2 linked regions of the Schizosaccharomyces pombe genome follow. The protein of the gene in region 2 interacts with the protein of the main gene of each other region in a pairwise test. Each region holds a gene or a part of one and is shown on either strand. Other genes may lie near its edges.

Region 1 (5,928 bases), on a different chromosome or scaffold from region 2:
TTTAAGTCCTTCAAATATGTCTGATATGAGCTTTACCTTTGAAAACTTTGACTTGGTTTATGTGCCAGGAGGGCAGGATCCCGCTGTTTTAGAACTTGTAGAGTCTCCTCGTCTCAGTTCATTGTTAGCTGACTATATACCTTTATGTGCCCGTGTTAGTGGCACCCGCGTTTTAGCAACAATGGCTCAAGGAGCAATCGCTGTTCAGCGGGCTGCTCCCAATCTTGAGATTAAATCGACTACGACTCCACTTTATATGGAAAGAGCGTCTTATTTATTTGGCGCATCTAATCCTCCGGCTTATACTTATACTTATATTCCTGAATCGAAATACGTACCAGGGCCCAAAACTGCTCACTGGGTTTATTCGGACGAAAAGTTTTTCTATGCTTCCGGTCGTTACTCTGGCGATGTTGAACTACTTTGTAAAGCTTTACGAAATCTCGTAGCAAGTGCATTGCATTAATCTTTCTTATTTGTCTTTACTATTTTATCTTATACTAAACGTGTTAATTATTTCTTTGTTGAGTTTCCCAGATTCTATTTTAATTTCATATTCTATAAATTTCATATTTCTGCGTATTTAGAGTTATATTGCAATAAAGATAATTCAATTTGCGAGTTTGGCTTTTGTTTGATTTGGAGCATTTTATGGCCCTTGTTTATCGTTCATTTTTAGTCCTAGAACTCTAAAAGTGTATTAGACCTGTTTTAGACTGTACCGTTCAATACCGTCGAGGCATTGAATTTTTACAAACATGCCAGAACCCTTCAAAATAAGAACTGTCACATGGAACTCTTTATTTTCATTGAGGCCGGATGCCAAATGCTAATTTGAAATGCTCTTTTAGACAGCTAATGCAAACGGTTCGGGTCTAAATTTGATATTCTTTTTTTAATTAGAAAAACCAATGTTAAATTAATGAAATTTTCGAATCTGTTGATTAAATTTTTCGATAGTGTTTCAATCTATAAGCTCCTGTGCTTAACAAAGTGCAATAACTAAAAAATAATTATATTAACGTGAGGAAAATAATGTTGACATAATAGTACCTACTGATGCTGCACTCGTATCTAGATTCATAAATCATCATGCCAAACGACATTCATAAAGTTTGACCTTAAGGTCATTTTTTATATATCTAACCGTATTTTATAAGGCAATGTCATCTGAAAAAACCCCGATCCATTCCCAAGCACGATTTTTTGCCAAGCGCTCACTGTCCCATACCTTTACGCTTACCATTCCTTCAAGGACTGAAACCACCTTTTCCCATATTTCTAATTGAATTGACAAAGGGAGATGTACAAGTTCAAAAAGGCCCTTGTCATCTGCGACTCCAGATACAAAACAGTCAGAACGTAGCTGCACGACTTCTACACGAGGATTGACAGAAAAATCTGTCAAGGACTTTAGCTTGGTTTTTTGTAGCTTAGCAATACAATGTGAAACGCATACGGAGACTCCATGCTTTACTACATGCTTCTTGGCATAGACTCTTATTCGCCATACAACGGTACCGGTAATAGCTGCCAATATACCAATCAACAAGTAAATTCGCCAACAGGATATAACTGCTGAAGTCAAATACTTCATTAAGGAAACTGTATGAGAGTAGACAGATCGCAAACAATTAGTCGGAAATTTACTCAATGCCCCACGTACTCGGAGCTTCCATAGCTCAAGAGTAAATAGTGGAGAAAATAAGTAATATAGTACTTTTCTTGTCAGCTTTGAATTATATAGACGGTTTAAAGTAGTCTTCAGATATACTTTAAAATCTTTAAGTCCGACTACATTATCGATGTCCTGCTTATACATGTAATATCGATCCTTAAAATTGTCAACAAATGATTTTCCGTTTAAATTCTTTGCACTTTCAAAAGTGGCAAATTCTTTAGGGGCTTTATAGTACCACTTTCCGATAATAGACATAAATGCCTGCACCATCTCTTCAACCTTATTAACCTTCACGGTATTCGGAATACATCGTGGGTATGGTTTTAAGCCGAAATCTGCAAGTAAAGGAAACGAAGCCTTTAATCCTTCTTTGCAAAATAACTGACGATTGAAACCACATTCAGCGTTCTCAGGACAAGGTTGACAAGAGGCTTCAATTCCTAAAGAGTGAGCAAATGAATATGCAGACTCAATAGAGGAACGTAAAACTCCTGGTTGGAGATAATATAGACTAGAAGGATAAGGTTCGGCAGGAACTCCACAGAAGCCAACGCGCTGTACTTCTTGATGCCAAAAGCCTACAAATCCCAAGAGAGGTACGACAAGCAATACAAGCCATAAGGAATTTACCACTTTGGTAAAAGAGAAAATTAAAGAAATGAATGAACCAAGACTAAAGTATGGCCTTTTAGGTTGCCTATCCTTAGTCAAGGAAATATTTTCCTCCACGCGATCAATACCCGTAGTACTAAGACCGAGATCAGAAGAAATCTCATTAACCGAATCATCGTCGGGTTTTTGGGAATCAAATTTTTTCTTCTCTGGCGTCGATGTATTAGATGCTTCTAACCCAAAATTTGTAGAAAACGCAGGGTTGACAGGACGATGAATTGATGCATTTGCTTCGTACAGCTGATTTAGGTGTTCTACAAAAATTGAGGAAGATTGAGATTGAGGAAGGGGTGATGATGAATTCTTTTTGGGATGAGTCCATGAAAAACTGTTATTTTCTGGAGTGAAGTTCTCCGAATTACCAGTAGACAAGCCAACCAAATTGTTGAGTTGGTCAAATGACTTGTTTGATTTGAGATAAGAGTCGGAACTTTGTTGAAAATTTTTTCTGACTGAAAGAAGGTTACTTGGATTACATTCAAGCGAATTCAACGACGACTTGATAGGAGAAGCGTAAACGCTTGACGAACGGGAGGTAAACTTAGGCTTTAGGTTTTCGCCTAAGAAACTGAGAAAAGAACTTTGGTTCAATGGATTTTCGCTTTTTGGAGACGTCGTGTTCAATACCTTTACTGGCGTTGGATCACCCGACACGGAGGCATTAACAAGATAGCTTTGATCATAGTCTAAAAACTTTGAAGCAGGTGTTACGATATTACCAACTTCTGCAGAAAAATCGTAAGTAGCGGTGTCTACAGAAGAATCCTTGTTTGTTAAATTCTGGACAATTGAAAAAGACGATTCCATTGAGTTGTCGAGGTTTACAACTGCCGCATTAAGCTCAGTTTGCGTCTCAAATGGTATATGTGTTATTTCTTCGTTTCGCGAATCTATTTTGGCAATCTTTGAGGCATGAAATTCAGATTCTTCTGAAATGGTTATCGTGTTAGTATTCAAAACTTGAACGTTCTCGTCCTGTAACATCCCCATCACATTATCTTCAAATTGTGAAGTTTTAGAAATTTCTGTATCATTAGCCTCGTCAACCATATTTATTTTTCTCTTAGAGCTAATTCGAGCAGTAACATTATTCGTAACCCCTGCCACCCTTCTACGAGGACTACGAGAAGACGGAGGAACGTTCTTTTGCTGCAATTCTGTCATAGAGATCAAGCCATTTTTTGCCCTTCGTAGTTTACTGAAAAGCGTGATTAACTGCGCTTTCTTCGCCGTTGACGGATAGTATATTTGATATTCAGTTAATATATTACGCAAATCTACTACTCGAAGAGACGAAGGATCATAATCGGGGTCAAAATAAGAAGGGACCTCCATTCAATTAAAAAAAACCTTTTAACTAAAGGGTATGTGTATAGACGTAAAACTGGCGAATGTAAATACCAAGTGATTGTTGTCAACAACATGGTGTAAGCCAAGTAACCAACAAGTAACATAAGATGTATTTAGTAATGAATGTCAACAAACGTGGGTATTTGAATATGTATAATATTAACTTAACCGAAGAAGTAAATAAATCATTATTTGCATAATTCACATCAAAATAAAATTTTCATTCACTAAAAAGACATCAATATAACGAAAACAAATTTTTTAAATCAATTTAGCGACTTGATAATTGCCGATTGCAGCAAACGTAGCGACAAATAAAACTTTATCGTTTTAGCAATCTATACAATAAAATAAATATCAAGTTTGCAAACTCTAGAAGGTATGTTCTTAAACGAAGTATCCTGGCTTGACTATCAAAAGTAGATATGTGCCAATTATACGAACACGAAATAGTATCATAATTCTCTAAATTTACACAGAAGGAACATGAAGTTGTTCTTCTGACTCGTTAACAGCAAACGAACGTTCACTCAGGGACGTCTCTTCTGTTTTAGAGGGTGGCCGCCATGTCATATTTCTGCTTTTCGTCGGGTGGATAAAACGACAAGCTGGATTCAAACACGGTTTATATTTACAAGGAATTGGAATGGTTGACATGGACATGAAAGGTGGTAATGTAGTAACCGTAGCTGGAGATGGATGTCCCTTGACACACTGTATACGTTAGTAATAGTTAGATTTAAATTATTATGGTACTTACATCAGCAGCTTTGCATTCTTTACCAGAAGCACACATTTCACTGCTCAGGACCATACCTTCTCCTGGGGCTGCGGCTGGTGTCGGATGAGCAAATATACACTAAAGAGTTAGTTTTAACAAATTATCTGATATTAATACATACGTTAGCACGGGAGCACTTATCGGCATATTTGCACAAAGGGACCTCTTGGGTTTGAGTGAGAGCACGCTTGGCAGCAGGCATAACGGATTTCGAGTAGTTAAACGAAGCTGCCATGGGATTGAATCGCTGTTTCTGAGATGTAAGTTTGAGCTTTTGTCCGACACGCCCAGTAGGTAGCTCCTTCTCTTCACGTAACGAAGTTATATTAGGAGTTTGAGAAGATTGAGGTTGTATGCTAGTTTCCGGCACAGAGAAAGATTGCTGCGACTTGTCAGTTGACTCCTTCTCGATAAAATCGATTTCGTCGATCTTGCTGACTGACTCAACTGAAGCATTTTTTGATTTTTCAAGCTCTTCAATTTGATTAAATAACCAAAGTGAGAAGCTAGTATCAAAATCGGACCCTATTAAATCAACTAGTTCTTCATTAATTTCAGTTTGTGTTTTTCCATTGCTAAGCATCACAAGAACAAAATCGGCCAGAGAAGCAGCCTCTTCTCCCCACCCATATTCAGAAAGTTTTTTTTCAATCGAATCATGAAGTTTTTCACTATATCCAGGTGTTTCCAGTAATGTAGTCATGTTGTTGGTTTACAGTCAATAATTAACTAAAATAAGCCAAAATAATAGAGATGCTCAAATTTACAATAAATGTACTCCGAGAATTAGTAAATCAATTCCACTCCTGTTATGGAATCAGAATTTAATAAGTTATGTACCGGTATATGCTCTAAAATGAAATCAAATAGCTCAACTTAGCATGAAATAAAGGAATTGAGAAGAAAGAATACAATCACAAAAATATGTTCACAGACAAGAAGTTGGCAAATTTGCCGTTCCAAAAGAAATAAACTTCCTATAGATGATGCGTTCGGAGAGCTTCAATGGAATACGTAGACTAAAGGTAATTTCTAGTAGCAATAGTTATATTGATACTGCAAGCCGTAAGTTAAAATACAGCAAGAGCCTCAGTTCAAACGTAAGTGGAATATAAGAAATATCTTTCACAGTAAGAACAGAAAGAATTAATAAATAGCATAAAATAGCGAGTTTGCTAATTTTTTTTCGAATATTATACCCAATTTCACTATAAGAACTATTCAACGACTAACGATGACACTATAACGCCACAACGTAACAGCATTAATTAAACTAGTCCAGAATCTAAGCGTCTAATATATATACATCTAAAGGCTTAGCCAACTACAAAGCAATTACATTGCATTGTCATTTTGGAATATAGTTATTTCTTCATAGTAACTAGTAGTTCAAAATTACTTTCTCGAGCAAATATTTTCCTTCGGTTCTCAACCTTCTTAGTAG
Region 2 (3,159 bases):
GACAGAAGCAGGGAAAGGTCAGATAATGAACAACATTCTTCTGACAAAAGGGAGCATTCAAGAAGAAGCTACCGTAATGACCGAAATAATTGGAGAGAACGCACACACAATGATCGCTATCGGCATCGAGATAAATATGACTCTGGTTATTTCAAGAAACATTACGATGATGATATGCGCTTTGATCAGGGTCATTTTCAAGATGAAAGAGACCTAAAAAAATATGTGCGAACAAGCAGACAATATTCTCGTTCACCATCTCCGGATTTCAGGACTCGAAATCACCAATTTCATTCTCGAGACTCGCAACCTATCACTCAAAGGCATACCGATATAGAAAGCCGTTTACAGAAAATGCAAGACAATGCTAAGGAATTAGATGAGTCACGAAGAAAAAAAATTGAACTATTGGAAAAGAAAGAAAGAGATGAAGAACAGTTTTTGGAAAAAGAGAGACGCGATACCGCAAGAAAATGGGATAACCAAGGAGATTTTATCAGAAATATGAGAAAAGAGATCTACTCTGGTGATTCTGTAAGCTTGGCAGATCGTGTGAATAGTAGCCGACATAACATGTTAAGGCCGTAACGTGATTTCTATGTTTTTTCTAATATAACTTTGATGCATAACGATATAACATTTCTGAATAATGAGTGGAAATGACGGTGGTAAACAGTTGAACATATCAGTTTAGGGTTCATTAAATAAATAGCTTAACATCCAAATGCATTGCATGATAGACGGTAATATTTTTTAATAATACATGAATTCTTAAAATTAACCATTGTTATCAACCAGAATAGTCGTGATCTTCGTTAATTACTTGTACCCGTTCAGGAACATTTTCAGCTTCGCTTTCGCGATAGGTCGGCGATCCGATTACATATCTCTCATTAAATCCATCGCATGATGTCTTTGGTTGATTCATTTTCTCATTTAATTGATTGTGTACTTTGCAAGCCCACGTAGTTGCTGCTTTTCGAGAACTTGTTTGTGGAGGATGTACATCTAGTATCTTTTGGAGTTCCACAGAGTATTCACCACATGGCATTGTAATAGCGGAAGAAAATAGATAATGTCTTAAGATATCTCGCTCATCTAATGTTGGTCTGTTTGGATAATTGGAAACAACCGTATGAATTAACTTCCAGTATGCATTTACCATTAAATTATTCGTGTTATTATCGTGCTTCGTGGACATCATCTCAATTGGTTTTCTACCTTGACCTTCTCGATCCGGAAGCGATTTAATTTCAGGCATAAACAGACGCCAATCTTTGTCTACCATAACACTGTGAAAGATCCATATAATAAACGATAAGATTAGTAGGGTAGGGAGAATCACCTGAATTCTTCTATTAAGGATCATGTTTTATAGTATTTAGCTACTTCGTTTTCCCCGTAAGAACACCTTCATCTACCAAATTAATTGTAAAGGAGAACTGCAAGGACAGAAACTCACGCGGCTTTTTTGATCTGATATGCGGCATCGCTATGTTGCAATAACGAGAAGGAATTGATGGTAAACAAAACTAACCTCCTGGGTTATACAGAGCGAGTGCATCGTTATATCTAATGCTAATTAACAGAAAAACTTTTAAAGTAGTAAGATGGAACAGGCTGCTGGATGATCCAATGCATTACCAAATTGATTTAGATAAATGTATTGCCAACCCTTTAATTTTTTTTTTAGATATTAAATATCTTTTATATCAATTCTATATGCTTTTTATTTTAAGACTCAGAAGAGTTTTAATTATAAGTATAGTTAATAGTTAATAAATATGTAGTTTAGTGATAGAGATATAACCAAATAACAACAAAAAAATTAACTAAAGTATCATTATTATAAAGTCCATTGCTAGGTTTTATCACTATAAAATTTTTTTTAAGTTTGGAATTATTTACTAAAAAAAAGAAACTTAACGTAAATAAATAAAAACTAAGAGGACTTGTTAGTTTTTGTTTAAAAAATAAATAAATAAATAAAGAAGGAAGAGTTTAGCTAAGTTATCAAGTGAGCATAGATAGCATATAATAATCTATGTTTACAGATTTAAATGTTTTAAAGATAAATTACTTGCAATTGCTTGAAGATATGAATTTGCGTTTGATTAGTTTAAATCAAAATGTAAGAATTTTGGGTTAAATTAACATATGGCAAAAGGCTTGTCAAGTTTAAAGCTAAAAAAATACAAAACAATAGTGAATTTGAAAAGTTGTTCTAAAAAACTTGGACAAATCGTTTCCTTGCATTAACATTTCATTTAAAGAGCTAATCTATTTATATTACTTACTGATTATTCTTTATTCGTGGTTATTTCACACATAGGGCTACCCAAACAAGGTAAATTTTTGCGTCGTCTTGCTAGATTTAATGAAGGAATACAGAACAAAAAATCTTTGAGCTTTATATTTATTGTGTGAATTGAAAGAGGATGTTTGCTTGTGCTAGTAAAAACTTAGAAACAGCAATGTATTCTGCTCGTCCTTTTAATATTTTGCTAGTGTAAAGTGTCAGAGCAATATTCTCTTTTACTTAATTTTCGTTTTGAGTTAACTTTCAACGTCCAAGAATACCAAATTGACTAGCATAATAATTTAATGTATAATAGACACATGAGTTTATAATTACAGGTAAAAAGATGTTTGAAGTCTTCCTTTAAATCAGGTGTGTAGGTATAAAATAAATAGATCATTTTCATCTAACATGACCTGTTTACACAATTATACTTCAGTCTTTAGTTTATAAACATGGGCTTTAGTGTAATTTAACTGTGGGTTTTTGTATATTTTATTCATTAATTGACTTCATCGTTGGGTGAAATGCTGTTCAACCGTTGTAAACAACACACCTCTTTTCACGACCACCCACTCTTTTAGAATTTTAAGTAATATATAATTTGTTGAAGATACTATCTTTATGTCTGACAAGGGCATCTTTCGAACGTCTTCAACACCCTCGATTGTGGATGTTACGCCAGATCGTGGTGAAAGGCCACGAAAGTTGGTTCGCTCAGTGCTAGAATCTCCTTCTCAGAAAGATGTCGCATCAATTGTCAAGATAGAGCAAACACCATCTCGCCCATTTTTCAATGACTTTTTAAAAAAAAGAATTACCGATTCTTTAAACGAACGCCCTAATTTGCTCAACAAATT

Evidence for each region.
Region 1: the proteins of erv2 (region 2) and man1 interact in a two-hybrid assay, tested with the Schizosaccharomyces pombe proteins (2 studies listed by BioGRID).

What each region holds. Positions count from the first base shown.
Region 1 is NC_003424.3:5,234,631-5,240,558, forward strand, and holds man1 (LEM domain-containing protein Man1), read right to left. Parts: upstream 3,749-5,928; 5' UTR 3,689-3,748; coding exon 1,154-3,688; 3' UTR 526-1,153; downstream 1-525. Other genes in the region: SPOM_SPAC14C4.04 (uncharacterized protein), read left to right, coding at 1-466; poly(A)-binding protein Nab2, read right to left, coding at 4,175-4,417, 4,464-4,562, 4,606-5,187. UniProt on the Schizosaccharomyces pombe protein: Required for correct meiotic chromosome segregation.
Region 2 is NC_003423.3:1,006,228-1,009,386, reverse strand, and holds erv2 (sulfhydryl oxidase), read right to left. Parts: upstream 1,434-3,159; 5' UTR 1,370-1,433; coding exon 791-1,369; 3' UTR 677-790; downstream 1-676. Other genes in the region: protein Cwf25, read left to right, coding at 1-588; cut3 (condensin complex SMC subunit Smc4), read left to right, coding at 2,924-3,159. UniProt on the Schizosaccharomyces pombe protein: FAD-dependent sulfhydryl oxidase that catalyzes disulfide bond formation in the endoplasmic reticulum lumen.